2 linked regions of the Tamandua tetradactyla genome follow. The protein of the gene in region 2 binds, or shares a complex with, the protein of the main gene of each other region. Links are inferred from orthologs where the notes say so. Each region holds a gene or a part of one and is shown on either strand. Other genes may lie near its edges.

The links.
Region 1: the proteins of IRAK2 (region 2) and IRAK4 are in contact, whole or in part, in a crystal structure (PDB 3MOP), measured with the Homo sapiens proteins. The link is inferred for Tamandua tetradactyla from reciprocal best matches to the Homo sapiens genes IRAK2 and IRAK4. Residues at the interface, in NP_001561.3 of Homo sapiens: Tyr6, Ile36, Lys44, Met48, Glu59, Trp62, Trp63, Trp64, Gly65, Met66, Arg67, Gln68, Ala69, Gln73; in NP_001107654.1 of Homo sapiens: Asp24, Phe25, Pro28, Gln29, Lys34, Glu92, Phe93, Phe94, Ala95, Pro96, Ser98, Val105.

The regions. Positions count from the first base shown.
Region 1 is NC_135333.1:103,422,604-103,431,751, reverse strand, and holds the start of IRAK4 (interleukin-1 receptor-associated kinase 4), read right to left. Parts: upstream 3,345-9,148; 5' UTR 3,185-3,344; exon of another isoform or gene 3,122-3,184; intron 3,116-3,121; exon of another isoform or gene 2,069-3,115; intron 851-2,068; 5' UTR 842-850; coding exon 681-841; intron 1-680. Other genes in the region: pseudouridylate synthase PUS7L, read left to right, coding at 7,706-8,618.
Region 2 is NC_135335.1:38,986,476-38,994,940, forward strand, and holds the start of IRAK2 (interleukin-1 receptor-associated kinase-like 2), read right to left. Parts: upstream 3,870-8,465; 5' UTR 3,768-3,869; coding exon 3,674-3,767; intron 1-3,673. UniProt on the Homo sapiens protein: Binds to the IL-1 type I receptor following IL-1 engagement, triggering intracellular signaling cascades leading to transcriptional up-regulation and mRNA stabilization.

The sequences.
Region 1 (9,148 bases), on a different chromosome or scaffold from region 2:
TAATGAGGGAACCAAAACTTAAAAAGGTTTTTTAGCAGGTTAATGCTGAAAATTACAGATAAATTTTTTTCCCTCATGCTACATATTTTGACAGATCTCAGCAGCAATGATTGACAAAGAATAAAATCTGCATTTATGTTTTACATTAAAGAAAGCAGAACTGAGTAGAGAGGAATATTGGAAATTATCTGAAAATAGTGTCGAAAACTCCTGACCTAACTAAGCACTAAGAATTCTGATCATAGATGTGTACACTCATAAGTAACAACTTTAAAATATCAATTTGAAGAATTTCCAAAATACATTGATAAAATGCATTAGAGTCACGCACTTAGAAGCTTAAGTTTCAGAATTTTACTAGAGATTCTTAAAAATTCTTATATTACTTCAATATGGAAATAAGCTGGGGAGGCAGAGTAAACCGCACGTAGCTTGCCAGAGAATTGTAATTGGTTCTAATCCCAAAACTAAATTTTCAAGACCATAATATCAGCCCAGCCAATAAGGCAAATGAAGCAAAAATTACAAGAAAACAAACAAAAAATGGGTTACTTATAACTGTTATCTCCATGAGAAAGACCCAGTCCCTAAGCTGCGATATTGGGCAGTACTTATTTATTCCTATTAATCATTTTATATTGTGATATAAGAATTTTTAAAAAAGGAATATTGTATATAACCTTATGTGAAACTGATTGTATCTATCATCACCAGATGGTTTTTTAATAGCCACAGCTAACTTCTTCCATCCTTCTTGAGGATCAATAAAATCTGACAGCTTCCTAATTAGTCCAACATTGAGGCAGCGCACGTATGTTGATGAGGTTATGGATTTGTTCATCTTCTATTCCTAAAATATAAAAAATTCTTATTAAAATTTTACAGTAGCTTTGGGAAGGACATCTGTAAACTTATATATCACCCTTTGTTATATCATAGGAAAGGTTGGCAACTTAATACACCATTGTAAAGAAATACTCTAAAGTCAACTAGTTAATGTTCTAAGAGGAAATTAAAATTGTAAGTTCTCTGATTAATTGTCCTCTGGGTTTGCATTCTTTTCCCACCTACACACATCAATAAGAATTTTAAAAGTTCATTTTTTTATTCTTATTGATGTATATTAGGATACTATTTTCCAAATGCAATTTATACAAAGTAACAAAAAGTTTACTGTTTTCAGTAAAATTTCTGTGAGCATATTCAGGAATCAATTTGTTCATAAAAGAGATTTACTTGTAAAGATAAAATATCCTCTGTATAAAAAATTAAAGGGATGCATATTGAGAAACAGAGTCCAGTCGGAATGATTATACAATAATTTGGGTGAGCAGAAATAAGAGCCTGAAAAAAGTATTAGGTAGGGGAAGGTTCAGGAGATTTAGGAGGCTAAATCAAAAGGATTTCATGTGTGATCAGATATTGAAGGGATGGAGAGTGAGGAGAACAAGGAAGATGATTCGTAGGTTTTTTGGCTTGGGCAATTAGGTAGATAGTACGAGGAAATAAACCATTCAGTTTTGATATTAAATGTGGAATATCTATCTCTGGAACTATCTGGGGGGTGGCAGCAAGTAACTAGATATTATAGTCTGTGGGTTAAGAGGGAAGTTTAGGTAAAGAATGCACAATAAATAAAGGAGTTGGTTGAAGCAATAAGTAAGATAAGGTTGCCTTATATATTAGGAATATATAAAATGGGAATGAATGAAGAGAAAGAAAATTTTTAAATATTCATGAGGCAGAGTCATGGAGGGAAGCTGAAAATCAAGACAGTAGCATACCAGAGAATTTTTAGAATGGGGGACAGGTTGGTACAAATGACTCAAGAGGTCAAGAAAACACTCATGGTGTCTGCTAGATTTGGAAACCAGGCCACTGGCTTCAATTCCTTTGTATTGACTGTTTATTCTCTCAGTGAGATGTGAAGATACCGGTGGTTTTGAGAAGGGAGAGATATGTTGTATATTCATGCCTTAAAAGGGCACTGGGGGTGCTGCTGAAAATAAACTCTACTGGAGTAGAGACGCAGGGAGAGGCCAATTATGAGACTACACTAACAACTTACACTAACAAGTGGCGGCTAGGACCAGGGTGGAGGCAGAGAAAGTGCAAAATCCTTGGATGCTCGATATATTCCCAGACAGAGCCAACAGAACCTGCGTGCTGATGTGGAGTGGGAAGATGGTGAGGAGGTTTTGGCCCGAACGACTCTTCACTGATATTTACTGAAATGGACAAAACTTTGGAAGGCACAAATTTGGTCTGGAAGATCAGCTTCACTGCGAAAAGCAGAAAGCTAAATTCAAATAAATATTTAGCATGAAACAGAAGAACAGAACAGAAACATAAAAGGTATCTTCTGACAGTCGTCTCCAAGGACTATCCCCAGCAAGGGGAAAGGCAGATTTTAATATCCTGTGCTCTGAAGTCTCCTTGGGAAGATTTGTTTTTGAGGCATTAATAAGTGTTACTGGTTCCCATTCTAAATGACGGATGTTCTTTCTCGGCTTCCCCAAGTTGCTTTTTTTTTTTTTTTTTTTTTTTTTTTAATCTCTTGATTCACTCTCTGGTTGCCAGGCTTAAGTACACTTTTCCCATCTGCTAATGTAGTTATCTAAACTTTACATCCACTGTCCACTTTCTAATTTCTTGAGAGCTTGGAAATCAGAGAAAACAAGCTTATTAGAATCGAGGGTATGCTCAGAATGCTTCCCACGCTGCCAGCATCTCTGCTGCGTGCTGGGCTTACTTCCTGGCTATCGGGAAATGAGATTTCATTTCGCAGAAGAGCTCAGAGAACAAACAGCCTGGAAGTTGAGAAATGAGGCGAGGTCTGACCGAGCCACAGAAGTGCTGGGTGACGCCTCTCCGCGCCTTAAGTTCCTCCTTCCATCGGAGTACCTTTCTGATCCCGGAGGGCCCACTACCCAGGTCACGATCCCGGAGCAGGGTCTTCCCACGCAACCTACTTCCTCTCTAGCGCCTCTCACTTTGGAGATAAGACTTGAAGCGATTTGCGCTACAAACGGTCACCCGATAACTCGGGGGCAGAGGGTGAGGCGGGCCCGGGCCTCGGACAGTCTCCGGGAAGCAGGTGCGGACGGCGGGAATCCCTTACCTGCCCGCTGTACGGGACGCGGGTGGGGCGACGCCCCGCGGAGTAAAAGGCCTAAAAACTTACGCTCGCTCGGAGAAGCGGATGGGCGGGCGCAAGTCTCCAGGTCCCGCCCCCGCTCCGCCTGCCGCGTTTCCTCCTCTCTGGGTCCCGAGACTTGGTACTCAGTGAGACACTGCAGTCTAGGGTAAGGCGCTTCTTTCCGTGAGCTGCCCCTTTAAATATGCCGCTGTCGGAGGCTGAATAGTTGAAGCTTCCGGGCATGCGCACAGCGTTGTGCCGAGGCGCGCCTTCACCTGGACGCTAGGTAGGCTGGATCGCGCTAATTGGGCAATGTGCAGCTTGTGTTTGGGACTGTGACAAGGTTGGCATTGGGGACCCCGACCCTTTGCCCTAAAAAAGGGGGGCGACGTGGGCTTGCTTCTCCGCCATGGATAGGCGGAGAAGCAAGTAGAGCTGCTGGCAGTGTATGGGGGGGGGGGGCACTTTCGGGGCAAGTGAAGTGGTAGCGCCGGGTAGGCTTTACTTCTGTGGCTTGGTAGCTTTTGTTAGGAGCGAGATCGGGGGAGTTTGGCGGTTAGTGGAAGAAGAGCATGATGGAGAAGCTACTCTCCATTTCTACTACCTTCCCAGAATCATTCCTCAACCTGCAATTCTCCAACTCCGACTCGCCGCCTCGCCCCCTCATAACTAAACTGTGGCTTAGGAATTCTGCACATTTGAGCTTAACTCCACGTGGACTCCTTGGCTGCTGTCCAGTTTGGGTCTAGACCCTTTTGACATTTCCCAGACTCCCACCTCCAGCCAGTCTCACATCATTATCCACCTCAAGTCCCTGCATTTTCCCATTCTTTTACTAAGGTGCTTGGTTGGAATCCTTTTATTGTTTACCTTCTCTCCCTATTATTATTATGTTGGCTTAGAATACCTTCATATTATCTTCCTTTTTCTGGGAAAAGAGATGACCATTGTTCTTTGCAAGGCCAATCTGCCGCTATGCGCTTGATCATATTGCTTTGCAACTCTTCTCTTACCCCATCAGATGCATTTGGCTCAGTGTTATCAGAATCATCTTACTAAAGCATCTTAATGATTGTGTTGCTTTTCTACTCAGACAACTTCTGTGGCCATCCATTGACCATCTAATGGATTTGAAGTCCTTGACAAGGCATTCAGTCTTCCATAACTGGGCTCCGTTTCCAAAACTGTACTAGAAAACTCTTTTTCCCCTACTGTTGCATCTGGGCTGTTTATATTTTTCTCTCACACATTCATATTTTGTTTGTAGATTACTTATGATATTCTCTCTATCTCATTTTTATCTCTTGAGTCCTTTTGAGGCCACACTTAGATGGTCACCTTTTGCATTATGCCTTTTCTGATTATCACAGGCAAAAGTGATTATTTCTTTCTTCCTCTTCATTCTTAAAGCTCTTATTTTATATTTGTCATTTTGTTCATTTCAGCAGTCAATGGATTGCATGCCTATTATGTGCTTGGCAATGTTTTAACTTTGGGATAATCAGTGATAAATGAGACAAGAATCCTGCTTATGGAGCTAACAGTAGTTGGAGGGAGATAGACAATAAATATTGAAGAAAACATTTGAAATATTATGCAGAAAATAAAATAGGGTTCTGTGAAAAAGAATCTAAAGATTCCTTTAGATACTGATTAGGGAAGACCTCTTTGAGGATATAATTTCAAAAGATGTAGCTATATGGCCAGGGAAGGAATAATTTAAGCAGCAGGAACAGTTAGTACAAGGCCGTTGTAGCTGGAGTGTAATGGGTAATGGAGAAAGGGTACAAAATGATTTTGGAGAATCAACAGAATCTAGAATCAGAAGTCTTTGGAAACCAATGTAAGAAATTTGGATTTATAGTTAGAGGGTTGTAAATAGGTTGTGAGATGATTTAATTTATCTTTTAAAAGAGTTCTGGGGGCTCTATGGAGAGTGAACTATATTGACCCATGGAAGCAGAGATTAGAGGCCTTCTGAAGTCTAAGAATTTCAGGTATGGAAGTACTAAAGTAGGGGTGATGAAAAGACAGTGGGTTGATCAAAGAGCTAGATTCTTAAAGTTGATGTTTTGGGGGATGATTGGTGATGAGAAAGTGGGGGGTGTTACTGAGGGGATGTACAACTGAGATGAAGTGGCAGTGGAAGATCTAGGACTGAGGGATCCTGGTGTTAAATGGAAGATCCAGGTAGATGAGCGTCGAAGTCATGTTGGATGGGAAGGTATGAGTCGGGTGTTAAGTCATCAGTGAATGAAGAAGAGTCCTCAAACTATCAGAGTGAAGGTGACAGCATTTGGTAAAACCCAGTGGCATGAACTTTAAAGGAACTGGGATTTTTAAAGGTAGAGGAGGAGAAAAGTGGTTTGGAAGGAGTGATGGGAAACAGAAAATATTTACAATCTCCAGGTCCTAAGGTAGTAGTGTGTGAAAGGGAAAATAGCCTTCATTTGGGAGGATACAGAACTAGTCTGAAGAAATAGCCAGGTTTCACTTAGGGCAAGAAATTGAAGGGAATGTGCAGGAAATTAAATATACCTTTATATGTTCCCTAGGAAATAGTGTGTAAAGAATTTGTTGTGATTTCTACACAACACAGTAGAAGAGATTGAGAAGGGGGCAGAAGGGAGGGGTGTTGCTTATTTGATTCAGATGAGTGGAATATGTGTAGAAATACGGATGAAAATCCAGATAATAACAAATTGCCTGGAAAGTATGGGGTTCTGCTGGTAACTAAATGATGTGGACCCTTGAGCAACTGATTTTTTTTTTGATTTTTTTTTTTTATTAATTAACGGAAAAAAAAAAGAAATTAACCCAACATTTAGAAATCATACCATTCTACATATGCAATCAGTAATTCTTAACATCATCACATAGATGCATGATCATCGTTTCTTAGTACATTTGCATCAGTTTAGAGGAACTAGCAACACAACAGAAAAAGATATAGAATGTTAATATAGAGAAAAGAAATAAAAGTAATAATAATAGTAAAAAAAAAAAAAAAACCTATAGCTCAGATGCAGCTTCATTCAGTGTTTTAACATGATTACTTTACACTTAGGTATTATTGTGCTGCCCATTTTTGAGTTTTTGTATCTAGTCCTGTTGCACAGTCTGTATCCCTTCAGCTCCAATTACCCATTATCTTACCCTGTTTCTAACTCCTGCTAGACTCTGTTACCAATGACATATTCCAGGTTTATTCTCGAATGTCGGTTCACATCAGTGGGACCATACAGTATTTGTCCTTTAGTTTTTGGCTGGACTCACTCAGCATAATGTTCTCTAGGTCCATCCATGTTATTACATGCTTCATAAGTTTATCTTGTCTTAAAGCTGCATAATATTCCATCGTATGTATATACCACAGTTTGTTTAGCCATTCTTCTGTTGATGGACATTTTGGCTGTTTCCGAGCAACTGATTTTTCCACGACTACATGTCATAAGATAGCTGTGAGTTGTGTAAAGAGTGAGTGATGGCTGCCTCAGAGGCCATTGTTTTGTCTACTGCTCCAAGAAAGCTCTCTAATGGTAATGATATTGTAGTTGGAAATATCCTCTGGGTCGTCCTCAAAAGTTTGTGCCTGTCCCAGTGAGGGCTTTAGAGAAGGCTTATGGTCCAGGACTGAATTAAGCCTACCTGAAAGCATAATGAAATTGTGAGTTGATATTTAGAACTGCATTTGCTTATCAATTTAAGCTTTTTCTTCCTGTCCTTTCCTTGTCTCTTCTCCAAATCCCCATCCCCAGTTTAGAAAAATATAGCCTCAAATTCTCTGGAATTAGAAATTTTAGGTTCTAGGGATAGAGTTTAGAGAAATCATTGTAAACACTCTTATCATCTAGTTTCTTCTTTGGGGACCTATAAATAGTATTATTAAGGTAAACCTGAAATTGACCCATTTTAAGCCTGGATGATGGGTGGAAATATGCAGTGGATTTAAAAACAAGCTACAAATCACCAACTATACCAGAAAAATAATTTTCCTATTTATTCATCTTGGTATAGGAGAGTCAAAGTGCACATCATAAATTAGTTATGTAAATTAAGGGGACTCAAAATTAAATAAAGATTTTTAAATGTTATAAGAAAAGAGATAAGATATTCATATGTTATTTGTAAAAACATTTGTATCTTTATATTTCCTTGAAATAAAACATTTGAAAATGTTCAGTAGCAGGTCATTACTATTGCAAAGTAGTTTCTAATAACTTTGTACATATATTTTGAGAATGTATATAGTTTTGATAGCTAGTCAAATGGTATTTAAGTTAGTGTTTAATATTAGAATCTAAGAAATGCTGATATCTGTATCTATAGATTTTTTCCTTGTTCACCTTAATTTTAAATTAGTTCATGTAATTTACTGTAAAACACAGACTATACAGTGATTATGTTTTGTTTGGAATGCCAGAAAATAAAGAGCAAAAAAAAAAAAAAAAAAAGATTGAATTAAGAAGATTAAATAAATCCTGCAATCTTATTCCTTTTTTGTTATTCACAACTTTTCTCTCTGGTAACTGCCTGCCTCTCTGTTTCTTTTGCAGACATTTACGAATGGAAGAGGATGCAGATTATAGAAGCAGATTTAGTTCTTTGTGTTACATTAATGATCATGTTGGATTTTGTGGTACTATAAAAGGCTCACCAAGTGACTTTGTGGTTATTGAGATTAATGAGCAGGGACAATTAGTTGATAAGGCCATTGATGAACCTATTTGCAAGATTAGTAAAATTCTACCTGAGCCAAGTAATCTTGGCAAAAACATAAAACTAGATCTTCAAAATTGTTCTTGTGAAGATGAAAGTAACCAAGAACTTAATACTTTGGCTAGATGCTCCAGTAGTGACCAAAATCATCAGTCTGGTACAGAAAATGAAGAGACTGTCGAAGGGCCTTCCAAATGTGAAAAAGAAAAAGCTGATATATTAGGTTCCTTGTTAGATGAAGAAACTAATGAATTATTGAATCAGTTTGCTTGTAAAATAAAAGAAAAATGGAATTCTGAAAATGAGCTAATTAAATCATCATCTCCTGAATTCTCACTAGGCAAAATCCTTGAGAAGAACCAAAGGGCCGTTTTACATAGTGCTGTTAGGCAGAAGTTTCCTTTCTTAATAACTGTAGGAAGAAATAGTGAAATTGTTATAAAACCGAATCTTGAATATAAAGAACTCTGTCATCTGGTATCTGAAGAAGAAGCATGTGACTTTTTTAAATATTTAGATGCAAAGAAAGAGAATTCCAAATTTACCTTTAAACCTGATATGAATAAAGACCACAGAAAAGCTGTCCACCATTTCGTTAACAAAAGGTTTGGAAACCTTGTGGAAACTAAATCCTTTTCTGAACTGAATTACAATGCTGATAATTCAAATGTAGTGATAACAGTAAGATTTCGGGAAAAAGTACACAGGCAAAGGAAAAGATCTCTTCTTGAATGCGAGGAAAGAAAAGTTACATATACAGGTAATTCAATAAATCATCATTTTCTTGGATAAGCTTAATTAAATTTAAAGTTGTGTGAAAGTTGTGTAATTTCAAATGAGTTGGATAGACTTTGCCAGAGGGATATTTGAAGAAATATCTGTTATTTGCTGGGAGAAAAAGCCTTTCAAATTGTACTAAATGTAAAATAGTCTTAACTGATGATAGTCTGCTTAACACAGGCAATTATAGTTAACATAGTCACAACTGTATAAAGTTGGAGCAGTTATTTTGTTTTTCATAACCTTTATTGAGGTAAATCTTAATTTCATATTTTTAAAGTCATCTTAATTAAAATTAAACATTTGGAGATAAACAGAATATGTATGCTATGATTGGAAAAGGAAGACAATGCCTTGTAACCCAAAACAAATTTCCCTACCCAAAATAAGCCATGGACCTGAACATTTTTACAGAGAGCACCTACCTTCCTTTGGCTCTGCCAGATATAAAAATGGAAAGAATACTAGCATGGGCAAGTTACTTAATAATTCTTTACTTTGAGGTTGTAC
Region 2 (8,465 bases):
GGTATATCCATACAATTGATCAATAAAAAGAAGGAGTGATAGATGCTACAACACAGATCAACTTTGGAAACATTAGGCCAAGTTGAAAGAAGCCAGTCACAAAAGGCCACGTATTGTATGACTCCATTTATATGAAATTGCCAGAACAGTATAAACCATACAGACAGAAAGTACATTAAGGTTGCAAGGGCTGGGGGAAGTGTGGGGATTAAGCGTGATGGCTAAGGGATGTGGGGTTTCCTCTTGGGGTAGTGAAAATGTTCTGAAATCAATTGTGATAGATGCACAACTCTGTGACTATACCAAAAGCCAATGACTTTAAATGGGTGGATGGTGTGGTATGTGGATTATATCTCAATAAAGCTGTTTTTTAAAAAATTCATAGGCCAACCTTATAAATTATTTTCCTAGGTATAGAAGTTGTTCTGGAGTTAACAATTGAAGGCTGGACTAACAGCGGAAAAGCTATAGAGAGCCCCACCCACAAACCTTGCTGTCCACTGACCAGGATACTTTCAAAGTGGTTGAGTCACAGGTCATCCAAACAATGGAGTACAGAGCAGTCTTGGAAAGAAAGGGGTAATCTATTCTCATACTCACCCTGGCTGAAGGAAGGAGATTTGTTACCAGTCACAACCTCCAAGTGGGGAAACTGGGTGGTTAAAGACCAAGGAGGTAGAGCTTTTAAGGTGTGACCCTGTGTCTGTGAAAACCTTATGACTGACGCTCCCTTCATCCAGTAGAAGGACAGATGAATAAAAATAAAAAGACAAAATAATAAATAAACAATAGGGGGTAGGAAGAGGGGATGTTTTGGGTGTTCTTTTTGCTTTTATTTTTATTTTCTTAAAAAATGTACATTGTGCTGTTTTGAACAAAATAAAGAATTCTCTGTTAAAGCTATGTTCTTAACCCAACTAAGATTGTTTACAAAATCCCATATGACAGTGATGCATTGTCCTTGTTCCAAAATATTTTTAGATATTTCCAAGTTTATTAAAGGCAGTTATGTAGTTATCTATATAATGTAAGCAATAATGTAAAATATGAGAAAAGGCTATAAAATGATGATTCATAAATCTGTTGGAGATGAGAAAAAAAGAATTGTTAAAACTAAAGGAAACCTTAAATTAATGACTATCTCCTTTTTTGCTGCTAAAAAGTGCAACCTCTTAGTTTATGGTTGAAATTGATATGATGCTCTTGATTGGAGTATATTTTTCATCTGAAAAAGCATGAAAGTATCTATGACATTGACCCTGAGTATTCTTGAGTTCATAAATAATGATCTTTGAGTAATTTATTTTCTATGTATATACCCAAAGTTTAGTCATTATGAAAGCACCTCTTTGGATTAGAAAAGAGAAACAAAATACAGTCCCTTAGTTGAAACACAAGATCTGCATTTTATTTAGGTGCTAGACTTTAATAAAATATATTTTTAAATTATAAAAAAATGTACAGTACTATTCAGAACTAGGAAATGTTTTAGTAATGGACGGTGGTGAAGGTAGCCCGACATTGTGAACATAATTAACAGGACTGAGATATATATATTTGATTGTGGTTAAAAGGAAAATGTTATATTGTATATATGGTAATAGGAGGAAAAATATTTTTAATCTATGAAACTGTACTATACAAACAATAAACCCTAAGTTAAACCATGGACCACAGTTAATCATACAGTTATGAAAATGTGCTTTCACTTATTGTAACAAATGCACCACACCAATGCAAGGGGTTAATAAAAGATGGTATATGGAAACCCTGTATTTTATGCATAATTTTCTGTAAACCCACACTTTCTCTAATAAAAGTGTATTTTAAAAAGACCAAGGAGGGAAAAGAAACTTGATTTCCTCTCTATCCTAGCTGTATTATTTATATTATTTAACCTAGTATATATATTTCGCTTTCAGTCTAAAATAGTTAATAAAAGATACACACTGAAAAGAATATATTTCTGGGCAATGGGAAATCATGATACATTTTGTTTGTTTGTTTTTTGTTTTTGTTTTTTTTACATGGGCAGGCACCAGGAATCCAACCTGGGTCCTCTCGCATGGCAGGCAAGCATTCTTGCCTGCTGAGCCACGGTGGCCCCATGATGCATTTTAAGTGAAAAAATGCAGGCTATTAGATAGAATGTACAAATAGACATAAGTTTGAAAATATAGACAGAAATTAATATATTAAGGAAAAAGACCAGAAGGCATAAAACATCTAGCACTCAACTCTGCACATAGTAAGAAGCCAATAAATATTAACTGCTGTTGTCATTGTTATTATTATTGGCACCCAAATATTAAGAAAGTTTATTTCTAATGGTAAAATTTGAGCTCATCTTTTCCCCCCTCCCACAGTATTTTGCAATAAGAATGTATTATTTTTGTTATTGGGTTAACACAGGGCTTCTCAAGCTTGGCCCTGTTGAAATTTTTGGCCCAATAATTATGTTGTGAGGACTGTCCTGTGTATTTCAGGATGTTTAGCAGCATCCCTGGCCTCTGCCCGTTGCATTCCCCAAGTTGTGACAACCGAAAATATCTCCAGACTTTGACAAATGTCCCCCAGGAGGGAAAATCATCCCCTGTTGAGAACATGAGGTTAAAATATATATTATTTGCTCAAATTCGATGAGCACACATATATTCATTTTATTACTCTTTCAAATGTATACATTTATTATACACTCTGTGTAAAGGTATATTTCATAATTTAAAGTTTTAAATTAAAAATATATATTAATTCAAATGGCACTAACCAGTTAGACTGACTTAAAACATAAAACTACAAATGACCATAAATAACATTTTCTAATTATTTATAAGAGTTTCTAATACTTATGTGTCAGGTGCTTTTTATACAATATTTTCAGACCTCACAACTTTATAAGAAAATATAATTATCATTTCCAGTTTACAGATGAAGTAATTTGCCCAAAGTCACCAGCTGGAAAGTGGTGGGTCCTGGAATACAGACCCTCCTTACTTAGGAACCTGAGGACCACACACGCAGTTGCCCCCTAGATACCATGACCACCCATCATTAACCCTCTTTCCACCAATCAGCAGCCGGGGAAAAAAAATCAAGTAGTTGCAATGTAACACTTAATGGTGGAGCCAGATTTCCCGCGTTCAAATCCTACCCTCCCATTTAGCAGCCATGCCACTGGGGAAATTACCGCTCTCCTTGCCAGTTTCCTAGTCTGTAATGTGACGTCAGAGGAGTATGCACTTGTAGGCTGCGGCGAGGATTTAGTGAGCTGATACAGGCAAAAAGCTAAGAACAGGGGCTGGCATGCAACAATCGTTATTATCAACGGCATAATTGTTGATAGCTATTCTAATAGTAACACGTTTTACCTTAAAGAGTAAAGCAAAAGAGAGGCGGTCATTACTTGGTGACAGGTGGGAGTGGCTCCCAAGAGAAATATTTGTGCCAGTTCGGACGGCAAAGATCACTTTAACACCTTCCAGATGATCTAACCGGTTCAGAGAAGGGGCTTGTCTGAGGTCACACAGCGAGGGCCCGATGCAGAAATCTCCGCACACAGAGGCCCTCGGATCAGGACCCTCTTAAACAGAATCCCGGAGTGGGTTTAGCGGCCGGATCGGGGCGGGATCGCTGGGTGGACCGGCCGCCCCGCCCCTACCCGGACCCCACTCACCGAACTGCATCCAGTCCCATTCGTTGAGGGTGTCCATGTTGCGGCACAAGTCGTCCAGCACCCAGGAGGGCAGCTGGTAGATGTAGCAGGCCATGGTGAGGGTGCCAGGCGCCGGCAGGCAGATGAGAGCGAAATTGAATCAGATGCGGCCAGGCTCAGCTTCTCTACCCGGGGGTGGGCGGTTCCCGGCTGTCAGTACAGCTGACCGGGAAGTGGGCGGGGCCGGCAGTTTGGCGTGACTGCCCTCTGGCGGCCACCTGGGCAGGACGCAGACCGGCCAGCTTGATCTGAGCAACTGGGGGAAGCAAGGAAGTTGCCAGAGCTGAGAGGGGACAGGTTCCCCACAGCGGGGAAGGACTCGATTAAGACAGATGGTAATTTAGTGGCAGTCACAGGAGACCGTCTGACTCCGTGCTTTTGTCACGATGCCATATATAATTCATTCAAAAACATTTTATTGTGTAACTACTGCATACCAGATATTGTTATAAGTGTTGGGAATACATAAGTGAAGAACGCCTACAAAAGTCCTTACTTTCATGGGATTTACAATCCAGTGTGAGTGTTCGCAGGAGACTAGCAGAAAATAATAAAAATGTGAAATAAGTAAATTACATAGTGTGTTAAAGGTAATTAATTAGTGGCATGACAAAACAGAAAAAAGAAAGTGGTTAAGAGGAGTTTGAAAGGGGCAGAAGAAGAATTCTGTTTAAACCTGGGTAGACCTTATAATAATAATAGGTAATATTTATTGAGCAGTTACTATGTGCCAGGTGCTGTTCTAGGTGCTGGGGATTACTCTAAATAAAAAGGATGGCCCTCCTGAAGCAAACCTTCTGCTGGAGGGTAACACACAATAAGCAATAAAAACATTAAATTAAAATAGCTTAGCAACATAGAACTCAAGTAATGTTAGAGAATAAAAGTAGAGTATGGTAAAAGAAAGAGGGTACTAATTACATAATGTTATTATCTTAGAGAGTTTGATCGTTGGGTTTATGTGTCAATTTGGCCAGGTAATGATGCCCAATTGCCTAGTCTAGTAGGCTCTGGCCTAACTGTTACTGCAAGGACATTTTGTGCACTTGAATCATAAGTAAGTTGATTGCAACTATGACTGATTACTTCTAGGATAAGCTAAGGAGAGTATCTTCAGCAATGATGGGTATTTAATCCAATTAGTTGAAGGCATTAAAAGGAGAAGTGATGACTTCAACAATCAGAAGAGACAATTTTCTTGTCTACTTCAGTCAGGAGAGACTGGCTGGAGGATTCATCAAAAACCTTCATTGGAGTTGTCTCCAATCTGCCCTAAGGTATTTGGACTTGTGTATCTCCATAGTTGCCCTTTTACAAAATCTCATATTTACAGGTATCACCTGTTGATTCTGTTTTCCCTAGAGAACCCTGACTAATACAGAGAGTGAAAAATAATATTAGGGGAAAAGCATAATATGGCGAAGAGGATGGCAGAACAATTACTAAATAGGATAGGAAGAAAGAATTAATACTAATAATACTGAACATCTATTATGTGCTGCCTTTACCTGAGTTATTTCACTTACTCCTCACAACAACCCTATGAGTTAGGGGTGGTTACTGCCCCCATTCTACAGATAAGGAAACTAAGGCACAGAGAAGTTAAGTAATTGGCCTAAAATCGTACGGGTACAAATTGGCAGAGCCAGGATTTGAACCCAGGCAATCTGTCCCAGAATCCAGGCTCTTAATCCCTACCACATACAAACTGTCTATAATAACAACTACATTTTATCTATACCTACATTGTGTCAGGTGCTTTGCACAAATTTTGTAATATATTTCTCAAAAGCCTATGATATTGATATTATAATCCCCATTTAACACAAAAGTAAATACATTTTAAGATTTAGGCAACGTCATCAAGGGCAGATAGGCAATTAGAGAACCTTTTTTTTAATTTATAAAAAAAAATAACAAACGCAAAACATTCTTAATTTTTTAACATTCCGGTCTACATATATAATCAGTAATTCACAGTATCATCACACAGTTGCATATTCATCATCATGATCATTTCTTAAAACATTTGCATCGAGAACACTCACCGACCTGTCTCCTGCCAAGCAATTATCTCTCCACAGAGGGTGGGCCTTTAGCTGTACTCTGGGGAATGGAAAGTCGATGACTGCTTTGAGCCTTGAGTTCAACTGTAGATAAATGAAGACTCAAATAATAATGTCAACTAATGGCATAAACATAATAGGAGTTTATTTTTTCTCAGTAACAAAAATGTTCAAAAATCAACTGTGAGGCTGGTTCCGAGAAGATGGCGGCTTAGTAAGACGTGCAGGTCTTAGTTCCTCCTCCAGAACAGCTACTAAAGAAATAGAAACAGTACAGGGCAGCTCCCGGAGCCACGACAAAGACCAAAAAGACAGCGTACCCCATTCTGGAACGGCGGAACAGGCTGGGAGAATCCGCTGCGGTGAGATCTTCGAGGGGCGTGCGCTTCCCCGGGTCGAGGCGGCTGGCGGCCGGAGTCCCTCCCTCCCTCCTTCCCGGGCCGGCTGGGAGAATTGGATTGGAGGTCCCCCAAGCCGCAGAGGCCAGCGCCCCCCACAACACACGGATTCCCGGGCTGGCTGGGAGATTTGGACCGGCAGTCCCACAAGCCGCGGCGGCCGATGCCCCCCCACAATGCGGGGCCTCCCGGCTGGCTGGGAGAATTGGATTGGAGGTCCCCCAAGCCACGGCGGCTGGCGCCCCCCCCCCCCCCCCCCACGCACGGATTCCCGGGCCAGCTGGGAGATTTGGACCGGCACTCCCCCAGCCGCTTCGGCTGGTGACCCTCCCCCACAGCGAGAGTTTTCCAAAGTTAAAGGAACCACAGCATCTTTTACTGGTGGGACCCACAGACGGACGAGCACCACGAGCATACCATACTGGGCAGGATAAGAAAAACAGAGCCCAGAGATTTCACAGAAAAACCTTTCAACCTGCTGGGTCCCACACCCAGGGAAATCTGATCAAATGCCCAGACACCAGCAGAAAATAATGGATCACGCTAGGAAAACTGAAGATATGGCCCAGTCAAAGGAACAAACCAATAGTTCAAATGAGATACAGGAGCTGAGACAACTAATGCTGAATATACGAACAGAAATGGAAAACCTCTTCAAAAACCAAATCAATAAATTGAGGGAGGACATGAAGAAGACATGGGCTGAACAAAAACAAGAAATAGAAAGTCTGAAAAAACAAATCACAGAACTTATGGGAGTGAAGGACAAAGTAGAAAAGATGGAAAAAACAATGGATACCTACAATGGTAGATTTAAAGAGACAGAAGCTACAATTAGTGAACTGGAGGATGGAACATCTGAATTCCAAAAAGAAACAGAAACTATAGGGAAAAGAATGGAAAAATTTGAGCAGGGGATCAGGGAACTGAATGATAATATGAAGCGCACAATATACGTGTTGTGGGTGTCCCAGAAGGAGAAGAGAAGGGAAAAGGAGGAGAAAAACTAATGGAAGAAATTTTCACTGAAAATTTCCCAACTCTTAGGAAAGACCTAAAATTACAGATTCAAGAAGTGCAGCGCACCCCAAAGAGATTAGACCCAAATAGGCGTTCTCCAAGACACTTACTAGTTAGAATGTCAGAGGTCAAAGAGAAAGAGAGGATCTTGAAAGCAGCAAGAGAAAAACAATCCATCACATACAAGGGAAATCCAATAAGACTATGTGTAGATTTCTCAGCAGAAACCATGGAGGCTAGAAGACAGTGGGATGATATATTTAAATTACTAAAAGAGAAAAACTGCCAACCAAGACTCCTATATCCAGCAAAATTGTCCTTCAAAAATGAGGGAGAAATTAAAACATTCTCAGACAAAAAGTCACTGAGAGAATTTGTGACCAAGAGACCAGCTCTGCAAGAAATACTAAAGGGAGCACTAGAGTCAGATACGAAAAGACAGAAGAGAGAGGTATGGAGAAGACTGTAGAAAGAAGGAAAGTCAGATATGATATATATATAATACAAAAGGCAAAATGGTAGAGGAAAATATTTTCCAAACAGTAATAACACTAAATGATAATGGGCTGAATTCCCCAATCAAAAGACATAGACTGGCAGAATGGATTAAAAAACAGGATCCTTCAATATGCTGTCTACAGGAAACACATCTTAGACCTAAAGATAAACATAGGTTGAAAGTGAAAGGTTGGGAAAAGATATTTCATGCAAATAACAACCAGAAAAGAGCAGGAGTGGCTATACTAATATCCAACAAATTAGACTTCAAATGTAAAACAGTTAAAAGAGACAAAGAAGGACACTATCTACTAATAAAAGGAACAATTAAACAAGAAGACATAACAATCATAAATATTTATGCACCGAACCAGAATGCCCCAAAATACGTGAGGAATACACTGCAAACACTGAAAAGGGAAATAGACACATATACCATAATAGTTGGAGACTTCAATTCACCACTCTCATCAATGGACAGAACATCTAGACAGAGGATCAATAAAGAAATAGAGAATCTGAATATTACTATAAATGAGCTAGACTTAACAGATATTTATAGGACATTACATCCCACAACAGCAGGATACACCTTTTTCTCAAGTGCTCATGGATCATTCTCAAAGATAGACCATACGCTGGGTCACAAAGCAAGTCTTAACAAATTTAAAAAGATTGAAATCATACACAACACTTTCTCGGATCATAAAGGAATGAAGTTGGAAATCAATAATAGGCAGAGTGCCAGAAAATTCACAAATACGTGGAGGC